Linked DNA regions of Nothobranchius furzeri. The protein of the gene in region 2 interacts with the protein of the main gene of each other region in a biochemical or structural test. Links are inferred from orthologs where the notes say so. Each region holds a gene or a part of one and is shown on either strand. Other genes may lie near its edges.

What was found.
Region 1: the proteins of bmpr1bb (region 2) and bmp7b form a complex in vitro, tested with the Homo sapiens proteins (2 studies listed by BioGRID). The link is inferred for Nothobranchius furzeri from reciprocal best matches to the Homo sapiens genes BMPR1B and BMP7.
Region 3: the proteins of bmpr1bb (region 2) and bmp2b form a complex in vitro, tested with the Homo sapiens proteins (3 studies listed by BioGRID and IntAct, with this or other methods). The link is inferred for Nothobranchius furzeri from reciprocal best matches to the Homo sapiens genes BMPR1B and BMP2.
Region 4: the proteins of bmpr1bb (region 2) and gdf5 interact in a biophysical measurement, tested with the Homo sapiens proteins (3 studies listed by BioGRID and IntAct, with this or other methods). The link is inferred for Nothobranchius furzeri from reciprocal best matches to the Homo sapiens genes BMPR1B and GDF5.

The regions. Positions count from the first base shown.
Region 1 is NC_091755.1:56,417,550-56,421,352, reverse strand, and holds part of bmp7b (bone morphogenetic protein 7b), read left to right. Parts: intron 1-261; coding exon 262-454; intron 455-1,589; coding exon 1,590-1,738; intron 1,739-3,284; coding exon 3,285-3,488; intron 3,489-3,803. UniProt on the Homo sapiens protein: Growth factor of the TGF-beta superfamily that plays important role in various biological processes, including embryogenesis, hematopoiesis, neurogenesis and skeletal morphogenesis.
Region 2 is NC_091746.1:52,903,779-52,907,565, reverse strand, and holds part of bmpr1bb (bone morphogenetic protein receptor, type IBb), read right to left. Parts: intron 3,549-3,787; coding exon 3,446-3,548; intron 3,173-3,445; coding exon 3,070-3,172; intron 2,102-3,069; coding exon 2,008-2,101; intron 1,920-2,007; coding exon 1,775-1,919; intron 1,648-1,774; coding exon 1,455-1,647; intron 1,358-1,454; coding exon 1,060-1,357; intron 984-1,059; coding exon 808-983; intron 1-807. UniProt on the Homo sapiens protein: On ligand binding, forms a receptor complex consisting of two type II and two type I transmembrane serine/threonine kinases.
Region 3 is NC_091742.1:22,692,974-22,697,212, reverse strand, and holds the start of bmp2b (bone morphogenetic protein 2b), read left to right. Parts: upstream 1-1,292; 5' UTR 1,293-1,470; intron 1,471-2,247; 5' UTR 2,248-2,260; coding exon 2,261-2,615; intron 2,616-4,239. UniProt on the Homo sapiens protein: Growth factor of the TGF-beta superfamily that plays essential roles in many developmental processes, including cardiogenesis, neurogenesis, and osteogenesis. Induces cartilage and bone formation.
Region 4 is NC_091743.1:78,134,517-78,138,820, forward strand, and holds the start of gdf5 (growth/differentiation factor 5), read right to left. Parts: upstream 3,087-4,304; 5' UTR 2,543-3,086; coding exon 1,915-2,542; intron 1-1,914. UniProt on the Homo sapiens protein: Growth factor involved in bone and cartilage formation. During cartilage development regulates differentiation of chondrogenic tissue through two pathways.

The DNA.
Region 1 (3,803 bases), on a different chromosome or scaffold from region 2:
AGCTTGACAAGCTGCATCAGGTCCCTCAACCTATGTTGTGCAGCCTACGGGGAAGAATCAATACAAAAATGAAGGAGGAAAACACGTATCCACCAACTTTACAAACATGTGTTTTTTTTCCCTGGAGGTTGCAACTCAATACCACAAAAAAGCTTTTAAACTCTCTATGAACTCACGCAGATCTATGTGCTGCCCTCTTTAAGATGGCGGGAAAGCTGTTCACGTAGAATTAATTCTATGTTCTTATTATTTTTTTTCCAGTGGAGCACGATAAGGAGTTCCTGCCAGTGCGGCGGCATCATCGAGAGTTTAGATTCGATCTGTCACGGATCCCAGAGGGCGAGGCGGTTACTGCCGCCGAGTTTCGCATCTATAAGGACTTCATCCATGAGCGCTATGACAACGAGACTTTTCGCATCAGCATCTACCAGGTGCTGGAGGAGCACAGCGACAGGTGAGGAACAGTAACCATTTTACCTGATTAAATGACTTCAATCAAGACCAGCAGGTTTTGGTGATGAGGACTTTGGATTAAAGTGAAATTACTCCCGATGAACAAAGAATTTTTCCACTCAGAATGAAGTGACTCTAATGATGTTTCGATCTGATGACTTTCTTTGACTTTGCTGTGTCTGAGGAAACGTCATCAGAGAAATGATGAAAAAAGGATGAAATAAAACTAAACAGCTTTATATTAACTGACAGAAAAACCATGGAGCTATTTTTTAAAATACACTTCTTTGACTCTTGCAGAACTGCTGGAACAATTATAAAACAACCAGGCTTCTTCAGAGGTCGGAATAAACTGAACTTTTAGCTTCATGCTGTCAAAATCCAGATTTCAGTACACATGTGTAATTTAGAAGTTTTGATCATTTGGCGTTTTCTTCCAGATCAGACAAAACTAATCAAGGAGGAACATCATTTACCTGCAGATGTTTGAAAATCAGCATTTAAATCCTTGTGGTTCATCTGGACCACAAGGTGCATGACTCAGATAGAAACCAAGTCCCCGGTCTGTCCTTAAGGTTCAGTTGTCTGCGGGGAACAACACAATCATTTATTCCTCTGCCGGGGACATGCCGGGGACATGAATGGACCAGGGCTCTGTGACACACTATCTGCTCAGTCAGAAAATGGGTCGGGATACACGAACGGCTGCATAAAGAACAAGGGATTTTAGTTTGAAACTGTGAGAGATTAGAAAACCCAAAGTTCACTTGGATATGCACTATTTCCTCACTCATTTCCACACAGTTTTCTTTTGTTTTCTCACAGCTGTGAGAAAACACAGCTCTCATTTTGTCTTTCTGGTTCGCCCTCAGAATTCCAGTGAGTGATGGACTGTGTGCAGCATATGAAAGGACCGCTCGTTTATAAAGCTATTATTGTCAATTAAGAAAATGAAGTGCTCCCCTGGGCCTCACCATCTGGTGCCCTCCCTACTTGCCTCTCATCACTCTCTTTGTTTCACTTCGTCACACTCCTCTGGTTCTCTCTCCCTCCTGTCTATGGCTCTGTGCTCCAGTCTCGATAACTGGCTTTTTTGTTGCATGCATGTTCTAACTAGGAATATGTTTTCCCTGCAGGGAGTCAGACCTCTTTCTGCTGGACTCCAGAGTTATCTGGGCAGCAGAGGAGGGCTGGTTGGTGTTCGACGTGACAGCGACCAGTAATCATTGGGTCCTGAACCCTGGCAGAAACCTGGGTCTGCAGCTGGCTCTGGAGAGCACAAATGGTAAGGGGGCATTCTTGCCAGTAAATTCCCTCATGTCACAAAACACACACACACACACACACACACACACACACACACACACACACACACACACACACACACACACACACACACACACACACACACACACACACACATTTTAGATTTTGTGTTATGCTTAATGATGTTGAATTAATTTGCAGTATACTCATGTTTATTTGTCTTCATTTATGCAACCAGAAACAGGCTAAGACTTATTCTGCAATAAAATACAACACACATATAAAGGAGAAAACCCTAAAATAGGACAAAAAATGTATATATATATATATATATATATATATATATATATATATATATATATATATATATATATACATGTCAGAAATCATAAAAGAAACATTTATCTAAATAGTAATTTTATTTATTTATTTTTATTTATTTTACTTATATTTTTCTTCCCAGGAGGATAAACTGCTTGAGATGTGGCATCTCGTTTTCGAGCAGGTCCTCCTACCATACAACAAGTAAAGAATAAGAAGGCAACGTCGATAAACCATAACAAACTAAGAGAGAGGGGAAAAAATAATAATAACACCCGCTGTGACTTACCCCATGTATCTCTAGGCATAATTTTATTTATAAAACAATAATGCACATGCATCCAGTTAATAATAGTTGCCAGTCAGTATAAAATATGAAACAAATAAAATAAATCAAGGCGAAGACCTCTTCACATTTCCTTCCCATGAAATCCTCCTGACCTAAAGCACAATAAACCTGCATTTGTTATTATATTGTTATTCAAATGTTCTTGTAAACACCTAAAACAACACAAGCGCTGCTGGATTCTGCATGTTTGGACAGAACTATGAATATAATTCAATCAAAGTAATGACCACAAAGTACATCGTAAAATGTGTTTGGAATAAGTATTTCTAAACTGTTCCATCTGGATTAGAATCTAAACAAACCCAAATGCTGCATTTCCCACAGAGCAGTAAAAAAAAAACACGAGAGCTGGCATTAAAACACTCGAGTCTGCAACCGAGCTGCTATGAAACCAATGAAATCAGGTAATTTGTTCTCTGATGAGAAACACCAAACCCTGTTTCTCACCACCACTATCCTCATCTGACCTACCCTCAGCATCATTTAGCAGGTATGCAGTAAATACGCTGCACTATCTCAAAAGGCACAAACGTTTGTTGGTGATCAACTTTATCAGCAAAACACCAGGCAGTACAAGCGTGTTTCACAGGATGGCAGGATGTTACATGTTGGTGAGGGAAACAGATGCTGCTTTCAGGCTACGTTGTGGATGTTTGTCAGTGTGTGATTGTAGGTTTGGAGCTTTATGGAGTAGCATGTTCAGACAAGCTTAAGGGACAGCCTGTCACCAGACATGATGAAGGAGAAAGGGTGAAGGGGGAAAAGGATGAGGATTTACTAAAATAAAGCTCATTTTTAAAAGTTAAGTTGGGAAAAGTGATTTTTGTTGCCCTTCTCTGCCCTCTTGATGCTTTATTCCTCTGACCTGTTGTGTTTTCTCTCCCCCACCCTTCAGGAGAGAGTATCAGTCTTCGTGTGGCAGGGCTGATTGGTCGCAGTGGACCTCAGAATAAACAGCCCTTCATGGTGGCCTTCTTCAAAGCAACGGAGGTGCACCTGCGAAGCATCCGCTCTGCGTTGGGAGGATCCAAACAACGAAACCCCAGCCAATCCAAAGGGGCAAAGAGCCAAGTGACACTCCGAATGGCTAACATCGCCGGTAAACACATTGTTGTCAATCTGCCTTTGGTTTTCTCACAGAGGGACTCAGTTGAGCAACATTCACTATTTGATTCCTCTGCACACAAATATCCAAGTATTACACTTCAGATGGCAATGAAACATTTAACGTATATTGCAGGCCTTTGTCCAGGAGGTGTGAGAGAGCTGTGTTTATGTGAAACATTAGACTGTACAGCTTCAAATATCCATCTGCTGTCTTTGTTTATTTACTCAAGCATTACACAGCATTTGGGGCCAAGCTCCCTGCATGAAGGTAAGGCACCGCAGGCTTTTATGGCAGAGCACATCTGTG
Region 2 (3,787 bases):
AAATCTGTGGAGGGAGTTCAAAGTCCGTGTTGCTCGGCGACAGCCCCAAAACATCACAGCTCTCGAGAAGATCTGCATGGAGGAATGGTCCAAAATACCAGCTACTGTGTGTGCAAACCTGGTAAAGACCTATAGTAATCGTTTGACCTCTGTTACTGCCAACAAAGGTTATGTTAAAAAGTATTGAGTTGAATTTTTGTTATTGACCAAATACTTATTTTCCACCCTGATTTACAAATAAATTCTTTAAAAATCCTGCCATGTGAATTCATGGATTTTTTTTCACATTCTGTCTCTCACAGTTGAAGTGTACCTATGATGTAAATTACTGACCTCTGTCATCATTTTAAGTGGGAGAACTTGCACAATCGGTGGCTGACTAAATACTTTTATGCCCCACTGTAATAAGATTATTAACGGTGCCTGATGGGGTTCTGCTGTGTGGAGGAGTTGTTACTGCTAACGGTTAGCTTCTACTGGCCGAGACGTTCTCTACTGTTTCCTGGACGCTAAAACAACAACAGCCTTCCCCGTTGTGGGTCAAGATGGGTGAGTCCACGAATGTTAAGTGACAGTGTGATGTAGATATGTCAGGATTTTCAAATCCTAGCTTCACCGTCTATTTCCAGAAGTAATTGCAGGAGATAGGTGTAGGAGACTATTTTCATGTTTGCACAAAAAGCTCAGAGTGATCGATTATAATCAGATATAATCCTTAAATAACGGGTTTTCATTGAAGTGCCACTTTACAACAAGAAACCAATAATAAAACCCAAATCTGAAAAGAAAATCCTTTTTTCTTTTTACCTCCAGAGATGCACCGTCGGGTCATTTCCCAAAGAATTAAACCAAAGCTGTACATGTCGGCCATTATGAAGGACTGGAAGGTGCTTCTGTTCAGTGTCTCATCCAACACTTCAGGTGGCATGTAGCGTTTAGTACCAACTCGTAGATTAGGAGGGATATCCACTTTGTTGGTGTCACTGAGACAGAACATAAATACACTTCATGCATATTTTGCCAGTTATGCTCCTGCAGTTTTAAAGGAGAGTGTTTTACCTGTTAAACTTGACGGCGAGTCCCATATCTGCAATACAACAGAATCCATTCTTTTTAACCAGGATGTTTTTGCTCTTCAGGTCTCGGTGGGCGATGGCGGGTTTACCCTGTGTGCCGTAGATCTCCGTGTGCAGGTGACAGAGCCCAGAAATGGACGAGTACGCTAGTTTCAGCAGAGCTTTTATGTCTAAGGTGTTGGACTTGAGGTGGTCATATAAGGATCCGTTCTCATGATAGTCTGTGATCAGGTAGAGCTGAGTCCACGAGCCAGTTCCTTTAATATCAGCTGCTATGAAGCCTGGAGATGACACAAAACAGATGAAAAAACGTTAATTATTCCTGAAAGTCCCATAAGGACAGAATCCTGGAACGGTTGGGAATGCTAACCACCTTACCCAGGATGTTGTCGTGCCTCATCAGAAACGTCTGATAAATTTCTGTCTCTCTGAACCAGCTCTCCTCCTCGGTAGTGAAGAAGACTTTGACGGCCACTCTCTCTTCTCTCCATTTGCCCATCCAGACTTCTCCGTATCGCCCTTTCCCGATCTGCTTAACCATCTGAATCTGCTTGGCAATGGTGCGCTGAACCTGGTAAAACATTGATTACAAAAAAAATTAGTCCCAATGTTAACTTCTTAATTCCCTAAAAAGGATTTTAGAAATTTCCATCTCAAGTGGTCTGGAGAAAAAGACATGCATGTTTTTTTGTTTTTACCAGCAGAGGGAGTCCTGACCCAGACCCAGATCCAATGCTGCGGGAATGCTCAATCAGGTCCTTTAGTGAGTCCCCTGGAGGAATGAAGGTCTCATCCTGCTCAAGATCAATGCTGTAGGGGGGTTGTGACGTCTGACGTTTATATCTGACACAGAAAGGTGAGGAAGGGATTATTTCATGAGCACCACGTGAATATTTATTGATGAGTGATGTGAAGGAGACACTGTTCATACCTGAAGTAGCAGAAGACAAGAATGACAGCAAGGACGCTGCAAGCTGTGAGTGAGATAAAGAGAGCTATGTACTGGATGTTGCTGTCCACATATTCTGAAAGAAAGAAGAAAGGATGGCATGAATGTGACTTCATATAAAAATACACACACACTTGTCCTGGTGTCAGTAGAAGACGGGATTAATAATCTCCTCCTCTTCGATTCCCCTAGTTCTGACCCAAAACCCCTGCTTTCACAGCGCGTTATTGATCGCATCCCGTTCCTGGATCCCACAGATCAGGTGTCACGGTGACATCGCTGCAGAATCCCCAGAGGCCTGCAGCACCTCTGGTGCTCTAGCTTTTCTGCCTCGGCCACGTCAGTCAGACACACACGGACTCAGGCGGCTGAAGATGGATCATAAGAGGACCGTGGAAAACACGGAAAAACGTCTTCGATAAATCCAAACTACCGGTTGTAAGCAAGTTAATAAATGGCGCCTTCTGCTGTTGGGTTGTTCTTGCAGACATTGTTTATGGTAAAGCTGACAACAGCCAGAGTTTTTAGTTCTACTGAGACAAAAACAACAAAACTGATCCCATTTTGGTGATTAAGTTTGTAAAATAACTGATGGAAAAGATGGCTAGATCAGCGATTTGGCTAATCAGGCTTTCAAAATTCACATAAACATGAAAATTAAAGTTTTATGTTTGCATCTTAGTCTGGGTAACAGAACGAGAAAGTGTGTGTGCATGCGTGTGTGTGTGTGTGTTGGTTTGTTGTGGAGTGACAGATGGACATATTTCTCGCATCCATCCTGAGACAAGAAACTCAAGCAGGCCCTGGGGAGAGGCTGTCCTTTTCATTATGGAGTGAGAAAACAAGCCAAGTCTGCAAGTCTCCGTTTGACCTGCCTCCCTCTCTTTGCTCCTCCTGAGCAGCAGGAGGAGGCTGCACCACTCTGCGGTTTGTAACCATTTAAAATGCCACTAAACCATCACTGGCCCAGCGTGGCCGGGACGAGCCCACTTTAAAAACCACTTGGATTTGAATGTGTGTGAGAACCAGTGTGAACAAAACTACCTGAAGTCACGAGTGGAGGAAGCGTGGGATGCAGGCTTCTGTTGCAGTAGTCCCGATCCGTGCAACACTCCATAACGATCCGCAAGCGTGCGTTCAGCATGTCCTTTCAAACAAACATAAAAACCAGGAAACTCTTTTATAAATGTCACTGATGAAGACATCGGAGTAATACGTATTTATTGCAGCTGTAAAACTCTTCAGTAAGGCTTTAACACCATGTGGGGACAAGGTAGTCAGGAGAAGTCAGTTTTAAACGAGGCTAATAAAGAGCCAAAGTGAGTCAAGGGCAGGTCTGAAGAACTCCACATGAAGGAGGAGACATGAGACGAGTACCGGCAGTCATCAAGGCATAAATGTGCACATAAGACAGACTTACTCTGCACTGGAACTCTGAGCCGACCAGAGGTAAACATCCTGCAGAAAAAACAGCGTGACCTCCCTCCTTCTCCGTAACCATGGTGAAGCAGAAACCCCGGGTCCTACCAAAACGCACAAAAATACTGTATGAATCATTATGTCTCAAGCACATCTGACCCGATAAATGCTTAGGACAAAACAAAAAACTGTTTTTGTAGCTAAACCAACTCTAAATGTACTTGAATAAAAACTTTGGTTTCATTTTTAAATATAATTAAATGTTCATCTGGTAGAAATAGATACGGGCGATTTGTTAGAGTAAATTTTTATCTGTGAACAAGTTTAAATTAAGGCTCTAACT
Region 3 (4,239 bases), on a different chromosome or scaffold from region 2:
TTGATTTTTTTTCTTATCCGTGGCAACAAACCTCAAGTTTGATCATTTAGAAACTTGATAGTTAATTAACACAACTGTCCTTTAAAAGTGATAAAAAATGATATTTTGTTCATATAACAGGAAATTAAGAGGTTGAAAGGAATTGGTTTCGTCATATTTATTACAAATTAACCCTTTGATGCATGAATTATGAAATCTTCAACCATGATTTTTTAAACTTTTTTTTCATTCATCTGTAGGTGTGAATGAAACAAATTTCAGCAAATATTATTTGTAGTATTTTGTTAATTTACAAATAATTTATTACATGTCCATCTCAGGGGACAGCGTGCATTCTGAACACGAAATATGTTGGCTTGACTTACTGAAGTCCAAATGAAGGAGCTCAATTGCAATAAAGTCTTCAACAGCTGTAAAATAAACAAATAACAATTTTGAATACCTGTCCACTGTATAGTGACCATTATGCATCAAAGGGTTAATGTAAAATTATATGATGAAGCCTGTTTATTCTTTCTATTTGGTTGATTTAAGTAATTCCTTAATAACGTGTTGTGTTTGCTAAAAGGAAAAAACTGTTAATAACTGCAAATGTCCCACATAGTTCATTTTTCTCACTACATTTTGCATTTTGATCATTGGCAACCTTTTGAATCTCAAATGCACTGAATCTATTTTGGCAAAACAAACAAACAAAAGTACTTGTTTGTCAAAAGAAGCAAACAAAAAGTACTTTTTTTTCTTCAAATATGCTGAGTACACATTCTGAGGGGAAATACTTGGTTAAAAATTGTAGTAATAAACTCAGCTCATAAACTCCTGCCAGCTCTTCCACCTGTTCTTGGTGGTCCTGTTACAGATTTTAATCCAAATCACATTTGTAGATGTTTGCTGAAGGGGAGAGGAATAAAGTTTAAACAGTTTTCCATTGTGAAGTTAGAAATGAGGGATTTTTCTCCTGCGGGAGTTACGCACAGGAAGTGGTGCGGTTTGGACAGATGACTGACAGCCCAGTGACATCACTGTAGGACAAAAAGCGTCGCAGGGGAAAGAGAAGGCACCAATCAATAGACCCGCTCCGGAGAGCTCTCCCTCTCCGAGCACCAACTTCACTGCGCTCATCTCTCCACGAACATCGCGCGACGCTCCACGTTTCTCCACTTTCAGCTTTTCTTTTTTCTAATTTTAAAAATGTCCAGACAAGCTTCCTCGCACTTAGTTCGGCTATGCCTGCGCGCAGCCGCTTCCTCGTAGACTTAATTTTTCTACTTTTTTTCTTTCCTCTCCGGACTGAGCAAGACCCGAACCCGACGCGCAGCTGGTGAGAATATGTGCGAGAAGCGATCGGCGGAGGGCGCGGGCTGTTTTCGGTCCCCCAAGCAGAAGCAGCGTGGATTAAACACGAATTAATGTGGAATTTATCGGAGCTTAAAGGTGGAACGACGACCGGACACCGCGCGTTCTCGTCAGGTAAATCGCTAGAATAAAGAATAACCATCGATGTGGAGGTTTTAACCTGAATCCGCACTTGGACTGAACACAGAAAGGTCACTTCACAAGTGACAGCTCATTTGTTTCTAATAATAAATTCGTGCGTAAAGCCTCCGCCTGTTGAGCCACGGAGAAACAGAAAATGAAAATAGAGGTAAAAGTTGTCTGTGTGGAAGTTGTTTGACTCCGTCTGTGTTTCTGATGCCTGGCTGTGGGGCACACGTCAGATCTAACACCTGCAAGCCTCTTGAAGTAACTATCCTTTATGATTACATGCAAACAGCGCGCAGTGGGACTGGAACTGATGCGTGTTCTTCCTTTGATCCTTCTCTCTGCATGGACTTTCATATCTGCAACAAGATCTCTTATCTCTTCTCGCTGGAGACCTTTTGTCTGCAGCGTTTCCCTTCAAATCCTTTGATTTGTCTGTTTAATCCACCTCTGTCATTAGTTTTTCACCTTGATATTTCATGTTAGGGTTCATGTTCAACCCAAACTAGAGGAGCAGTTTAGCCTCTGGGTTTTTCTTTCTTTCTTTCTTTCTTTCTTTCTTTCTTTCTTTCTTTCTTTCTTTCTTTCTTTTTCTTCTGCACTTCAAAGTGAAGAGGTGTCTCCCCCTTTTTAACCTGCTCCCCTTCAGTTTTACGCTCTGAGGGGGGATTTGGGAACTGCTGCCGCGAGAGCCTAGCTGGGACCACCTCACGTCAATACCACATTGCCTGCCAGTGTATTGACAGAAACCAACTTTCTCCACAGGGACTGACTGATCATGGTCGCCGTGGTCCGCTCTCTCATGGTACTGATGCTCGCTCAGGTGCTGCTGGAAGGTGCTGCGGGACTCATCCCCGAGGTAGGCCGGAGGAAGTACAGCGAATCCGGGAAACAGACCCCTGAGCAGTCGGAGAGCTTCCTCAACGAGTTCGAGCTGCGGCTTCTCAACATGTTCGGGCTGAGACGCAGGCCGACCCCCAGCAAACAAGCCGTGGTGCCCCAGTACATGGTGGACCTTTACCGGATGCACTCTGCGAACGGAGACCACAGCACTAAGCGGCCCAAGAGCATGGGGAAGCACGCAGAGAGAGCCGCCAGCAAGGCCAACACGATTAGAAGCTTTCACCATGAAGGTATATATTAGTGACATACCTTTACATGTCTCTCTCAGACAGCGCAAACCTATATTTAAACATGACTCAGATCGTCAACACTGAACTTCAGAGTCTTCCCTGTTTTCTGAAGGTTTAGTCATTTACAGATGACATGCTCCGAAGGTATTTGCAACCTTAAAAAATGCTTTAACTTAAAGATTGATGCACAAAAATCACATCAAAGTTGACTTTTCTCACCTAAGCAGCAGTGCAACATTTAGACAAACATCCCTCCAGCACAGCTGTCACAGGCTTCAGAAACATCAGGGGCGGCGGTATCCCCGGGGTCATTAGTTTCTTAATAATTGATGGTGTTTGCGTGGGATTCTGAAAACTGTTTTTCCAGACACGCACCACGGGAGCAGCATAAAGGGCGGTGCGCCTGTGCGCAGGTGATAGACGTCACCCTGCAACTTCAAAAAACAACCGACATCAGAGCAACACACACGATGACGAAGTCACCGTGTCAGACTGAGTCACCTTTAACAAGACTCAAATTAGCTCTTGGTAACGCCGTAGAGGAGGCGTGGCTTCCCTTCTTCCTGTTGCTTCCAGTTGTGCATCATTACGCGTGAACCAGTTTGGAGAAGACAGCGATAGTTGAACTACAAGTCTCAGTTCAGTTGAATTTAAAAACCTATATTTAAACATGACTCATTCACCTCTCGGATGAAAATAAACGTTTTGCAGACTCTGGATCAGCTGTTAAAATGTGGATTTAAACAGTATTTTAACAAAGTAAATGATGCTTTGTTTATAACAGCTTTAAAAGCAGGAGCACTCGATGTTTACGTTTTTGTATAATAAACATCTTATTCCCGGTATAGTAGATTTGCACATCTATTTATCTTAATGTGACCCACGTTGCTGGGTCCATTGGGGCCCTGCGCAGAGTCCTCATACAGAGTCCTGTGTTTGAGTGGAGAAGTTTCTTTCCATCAGGGGTGAGTCAGAGGGGTGGTTGAGTGGTTGCTTGGGTGCTCTCCAAAGGCCTAGTGCAATGACACCAAGTGGCTACACTGACACACTACAAACAACCCTGAGCAGCAGGGTTGAGTGACTGCTCCCAGCTCACCGCTGGAAACCTCTGCACTCAGCCAACACACGTTGACATTTACACGTCTTCTCCTGGCTCTTTTCGTCCTATGCTAACAGCCGCGCGGTTATTAGGCTTCCCGTATCGCGTCGAGGGATTGTTCCCCCTGTAATAAGCACGGATCTACAGATGTTAATGCAGCACATCAAAGCAAACAGCTCCAAGCCTTCGTCACGTCTGCCACGCCATGCTCCTTTCGCTCGGACAATTGGTTTTCAGGAATAACTCGAGTCAAATAGAGCCTTTCCACCGTAGCACAGGACGCAGCTGCCAGAGATGGCCGATCCAATATTAGCATCTATCTTTTGTTTTGGCGAGTGGCACAAAAATAAAGCTGTGGAAATCTGTGGTTCGCGTGCTTTTGACAAGCATAAACTTGTTCACACAGCAGTTCCAGACCGAGATCGAGAACAGTTGCAGAAAGGAACTGAGAAAACGGTGACAGAGAAGACAAGAGAAGAGGATCTCTAAAAGGACGGAGGGGAAAGAGGGGGATTTGGGTGCTGA
Region 4 (4,304 bases), on a different chromosome or scaffold from region 2:
GTTTGGCATAAGGATTATCATGTGGAGATCTAGGACTCGAGGGCGAGTCCTTCAGGACAAAGAAGGGGAGAGTGTGATGGGCAGAAGACGGAAGCTGCCGGGCTCTGAGGGTGTGGTGATTGGACACCAGCTGGTCCTCGTTATGGATAACGAGGCCAGGGAGGATAAAAAGGTGACAGGTCTGCTGAGAGGGGTGCGTGGTCGACCTGTCATTGTGGCATCGGACTTTGGGGGGAGGGGTCGTTCGCAGCCGGGTAGGGCTGCCGGCGACGAAGATAGCTGAACAGGTGTTTAGTGTTCCAGCGCCAGGAGGGAAGGCTGGTCGCCTTCTTTAGACAGTTAGGGCTGGGCATAGGTGATGCCAAGGCCGCGCCGACATCTGCCGCTACGGACTCTGGCAGTGGACTTATGTTGTGGATTTACCCGCCGTCCTCGCAAGCTACACCCCGGGGCGTTGGACGGCGTTGGAAGCTCAGACCCCGGGGACGGGGGTCACACCATCCGTGACAGCTAAGTACCGCTGCTTACGTGACTCATGCTGGACAGTTGGTTTTACAAGAGAGGGCTTGGGCCATGGTGTTTTATCGTTGTGTTTTATTATTGGTTGTGCAATAAAGTGTGTCTTTTATAAGTCGTTGCCTACTGGTGGTGTGTTCAGGTTCTGACCGGAGGGCAAGATATTCTGCCCGTGCTGCCCACGGCTACTTTTATTACAATAGCATTGGTTTTGTCCTCATTTAGATGAAGGTAATTAGAGGAAAAACAGGTTTTAATTACAGAGGAACGATCCTGAACACAGACTGCAGGAGAGCTTGGGCTGACATAGTAGTAGTCAGTCATCTGCATACATGTGTAGCCTAGTGAACTAGCCCAGAACTAGTCTAGTGAACTAGACCAAACTTTGGTCTAGGAACGCTCCACTAGAACCTCTGCAGCCCCTAGCAGCATTCTGGCTGGCCAATCACAGCTCTCTAGAGGGGTTTCAAACTGATAGAGCGCTGTGATTGGTCCACAATGGTGGGCCGGTCACAGTGACCTATCTGCTTTGTGGACCAATCACGGACCTCTGTTTGTCTGGTGGGCGGGATGATGCAAGAGTGGAAAAAAATGGCGACCGCTCATTTTAAATGGGTTTTACATTAATTCTGGACTATTGGGACTTGGGCTTTATTGAACCAGGAGCAGATACACGTTTTTAAGTTGTTTATTTAGAAAAAGGATGTATTTTTACCTTCTACAACCTCGTTTATCGACATCCGTTGTGGTGAGTATGCCACGTTGTTCATTGTCCAGTAGCGTGCGGGAGATCGTTTGAAAGGCAACTGTAGAGCCCGAGAGCCATCGATGGAGTGTTGCCGGACTTAATAATATATTATTTAGTCGGGCTTGCCAGGCATTAAATGTGATAGTTTACTAAGTTTTTTTAGAATGATGCCTGGAGGAAGTATGTAGATCGAGAAAAGCTAAGGACCCAAAACTGAACCCTGGGGGACCCTAGAGGTCGAGAAGAACAGTTTTCAATGCAAACACTAAAATATCTTTTATTCCAGTATGAGCTAAACCAATCACAGGCCTTCCCTTCAGATCCTGTTCTTTCTCCTACTGATCCTAGATCTGTGGAGGTCTACAGAGCCCTCCTTCACCAAATCTTCACTCAGAACTAAATGGTTGGTTTTAAGTAAGGTTTGTGTGTGAGCAGCAGCAGTGATGTTTCCCTACAACTGAAACATGACCGACAGAACATTCTGCTGCTTCCAAACCATCTGATCCCAGAACTGGATCCAAATCCTAGGAAAGTTATTCAGTTTTTCATTTCTTTCTTTCTTTCTTTCTTTCTTTCTTTCTTTCTTTCTTTCTTTCTTTCTGTTCCTTTGAAAGCCTATAGTCTTCGTTATAGAGGACAGAGACAGTTACCTTGTCCCTTGTCCACAAAGCTGGTGATGGTGTTGGCCAGAGCCGCGCTGCTGTTCACGTCTCCGCTGCTCAGTGACCAGTACAGAGACAGCATGTAGTCGTGAGGGGTCACCACCGGCTGCCTGGCGCCTGGTTTCGGTGACTTGATGCTGACGCCCCGCTCCACAGCCGCGCTCTGTTTTTGCTCATACCCGCTGCGCGCAGCGGCGGCTGCTGCGCCCGCCCTGGAAGCGGCTTTCCCCGGTGAGCCACCTCCTCCAAACGTCTCAGTTCCTTTCCTGGCAGCATTTGCGTTAACAGCTGCGGGCGCGTGCGCTTCAACACGTGCCTTAGCGGCGGGACGCCAGGAGCACACAGCCTCTCTGCACGCGGATCTTTGCGCTCCGTCCTGCTGCGGCTGGTCCAGCCTCCCCGGTGCAGCGGAGATCCCCGCTGGTTTCTGACTGGCAAAATTCGTCTCACCTGTGGTCGGCAGCGCACTCACGCGCACACGAGGAGCTGGTTTCCAAGAGCCAGCGGTTCCTCCCGTTCGCTCCAAGGTGGTTCTGGTTCTGCTGAGCGAACCGCGGACGGGATGCAGGAAGACTATCGTCCAGCTGAGCAGAAGGGGAAGATTCTTCACTCTCATCCTAAATCTCTGCAGCCTTTTGGCACATCGTCTATAAATCTCTTCAGAACGATCTGACCCGCTGAGCCGACACCAGGAGCGCGGGAAGTTCAGTGACCTTTCTCATCCTCAGACCCGTGAGGTCCAAAATGCGCGTCTCGCTCCCAAACGCTAGAGAAACGGGGTCTGACTCTCACAGGGTTAAAAGAGTCATTTGGTCAGGGTCAGGTGTCAGAACCATACTGCTGATGGTGGACAGGTGAGACTCTGAGACCTGGACCCGTCTTCTGCTCTCCAGCGAACTGTTCTGCTTGGTACCATGTAACAACTTCTTTAAATCCCACTTCTTTTTTCCATGTGAGGAGAGTATGGCGTAATGCGGTTGCCTCCGTTTTTTCTCTTTCCCTCCAAAGCTTGAACTCTGTCCAGTGAAAATATTTCACTCACACACAACAACCCGCAGGTGCTCCAGAATCCTGCAGCAGACCTGAGCAGGAATTCCAGAGAGCGGCTTTAATTACGCCGTGATGTCATTCTGTCCCAACTCATTTAACAGTGATAATTCAGCCCACATCTTCCTCCCTCTTTTACACACACACACACACACACACACACACACACACACACACACACACACACACACACACACACACACACACACACACACAAATTATGATAAATGATAAATGACCCACTTTTGTATAGCGCCCGCCAGAGTAAGGACTCCAAAGCGCTTTACAGTGTATCATTCTTCCATTCACACACTGATGGTGATGAGCTACGATGTAGCCACAGCTGCTCTGGGGCACACTGACAGAGTTGAGGCTGCCGAGCACTGGTCCCTCCGACCACCGCCAGCAGGCAAGCTGGGTTAAGTGTCTTGCCCAAGGACACAACAGCAGAATTCTCTGTCCGGAGCCGGGATCGAACCTGCAACCTTCCGACTACTGGAAAACCCGCTCAACCTGTTGAGCTACTGCTGCCCCACACACACACACACACACACACACACACACACACACACACATCTGTGTGGCTCTGAAGAGCTGCAGCAGCTGGATGTTTCCTATTCTAAGGCCAGATGAAGGAGACTGAGGCTCCAGTTACTTTATAAAACACAATGAGATGAAGCCCTGAAGGTGAGTCCCAAGCTGGAGAACACGTAGACATCTGTTGAGGTTTGATCTGAAGACCCCAAAACTCAGATTAAAATTAGGACTAATCATTAGCTTGAGTGAAGCCTCTGATAATTCAGTAGAGAAAAGCAACCCTCACATCTGACCTCCTTCCTCAGATGATTATATGGAAAAAGATGCATTAAACCTTTCATAAAGTCATGAGTCTACAGATTAGAGAGAAGTTTAGATTCTTGTTTTTTAAATATTTTAACATGTCATGGCTGACCAAATGGGCTCCATTCATTCACCATTAGTCATGCTTAACTTTTGCTGCAGGTTTTGCACCAAAGAGCCAAAAGACTCTTTCCTGTTTCAAGTTGCTGTTGGTGCCAAACCCTCACTAAGTCACATCACAGGAAGGTAAAGTGGCAGGTTGATGAAACAAACCATGACTTTGACTCAGAAATGTTTTCATCTGCATGGAGTTCAGAGCGGAAATAAAACTCTGATGAGGTAGGATGAAGAAACAAAACAGGACTTCTTCTCCTGTTCCTTTAAGATGTTCTTCAGCTCTGATCCTGGGTCAGGAGTTCAGGACTTAAACCTCATCCAAGAACCTTAAACAGTAATCAGAACCATGAAAGTCAGGTGACCTATTTGGTCGT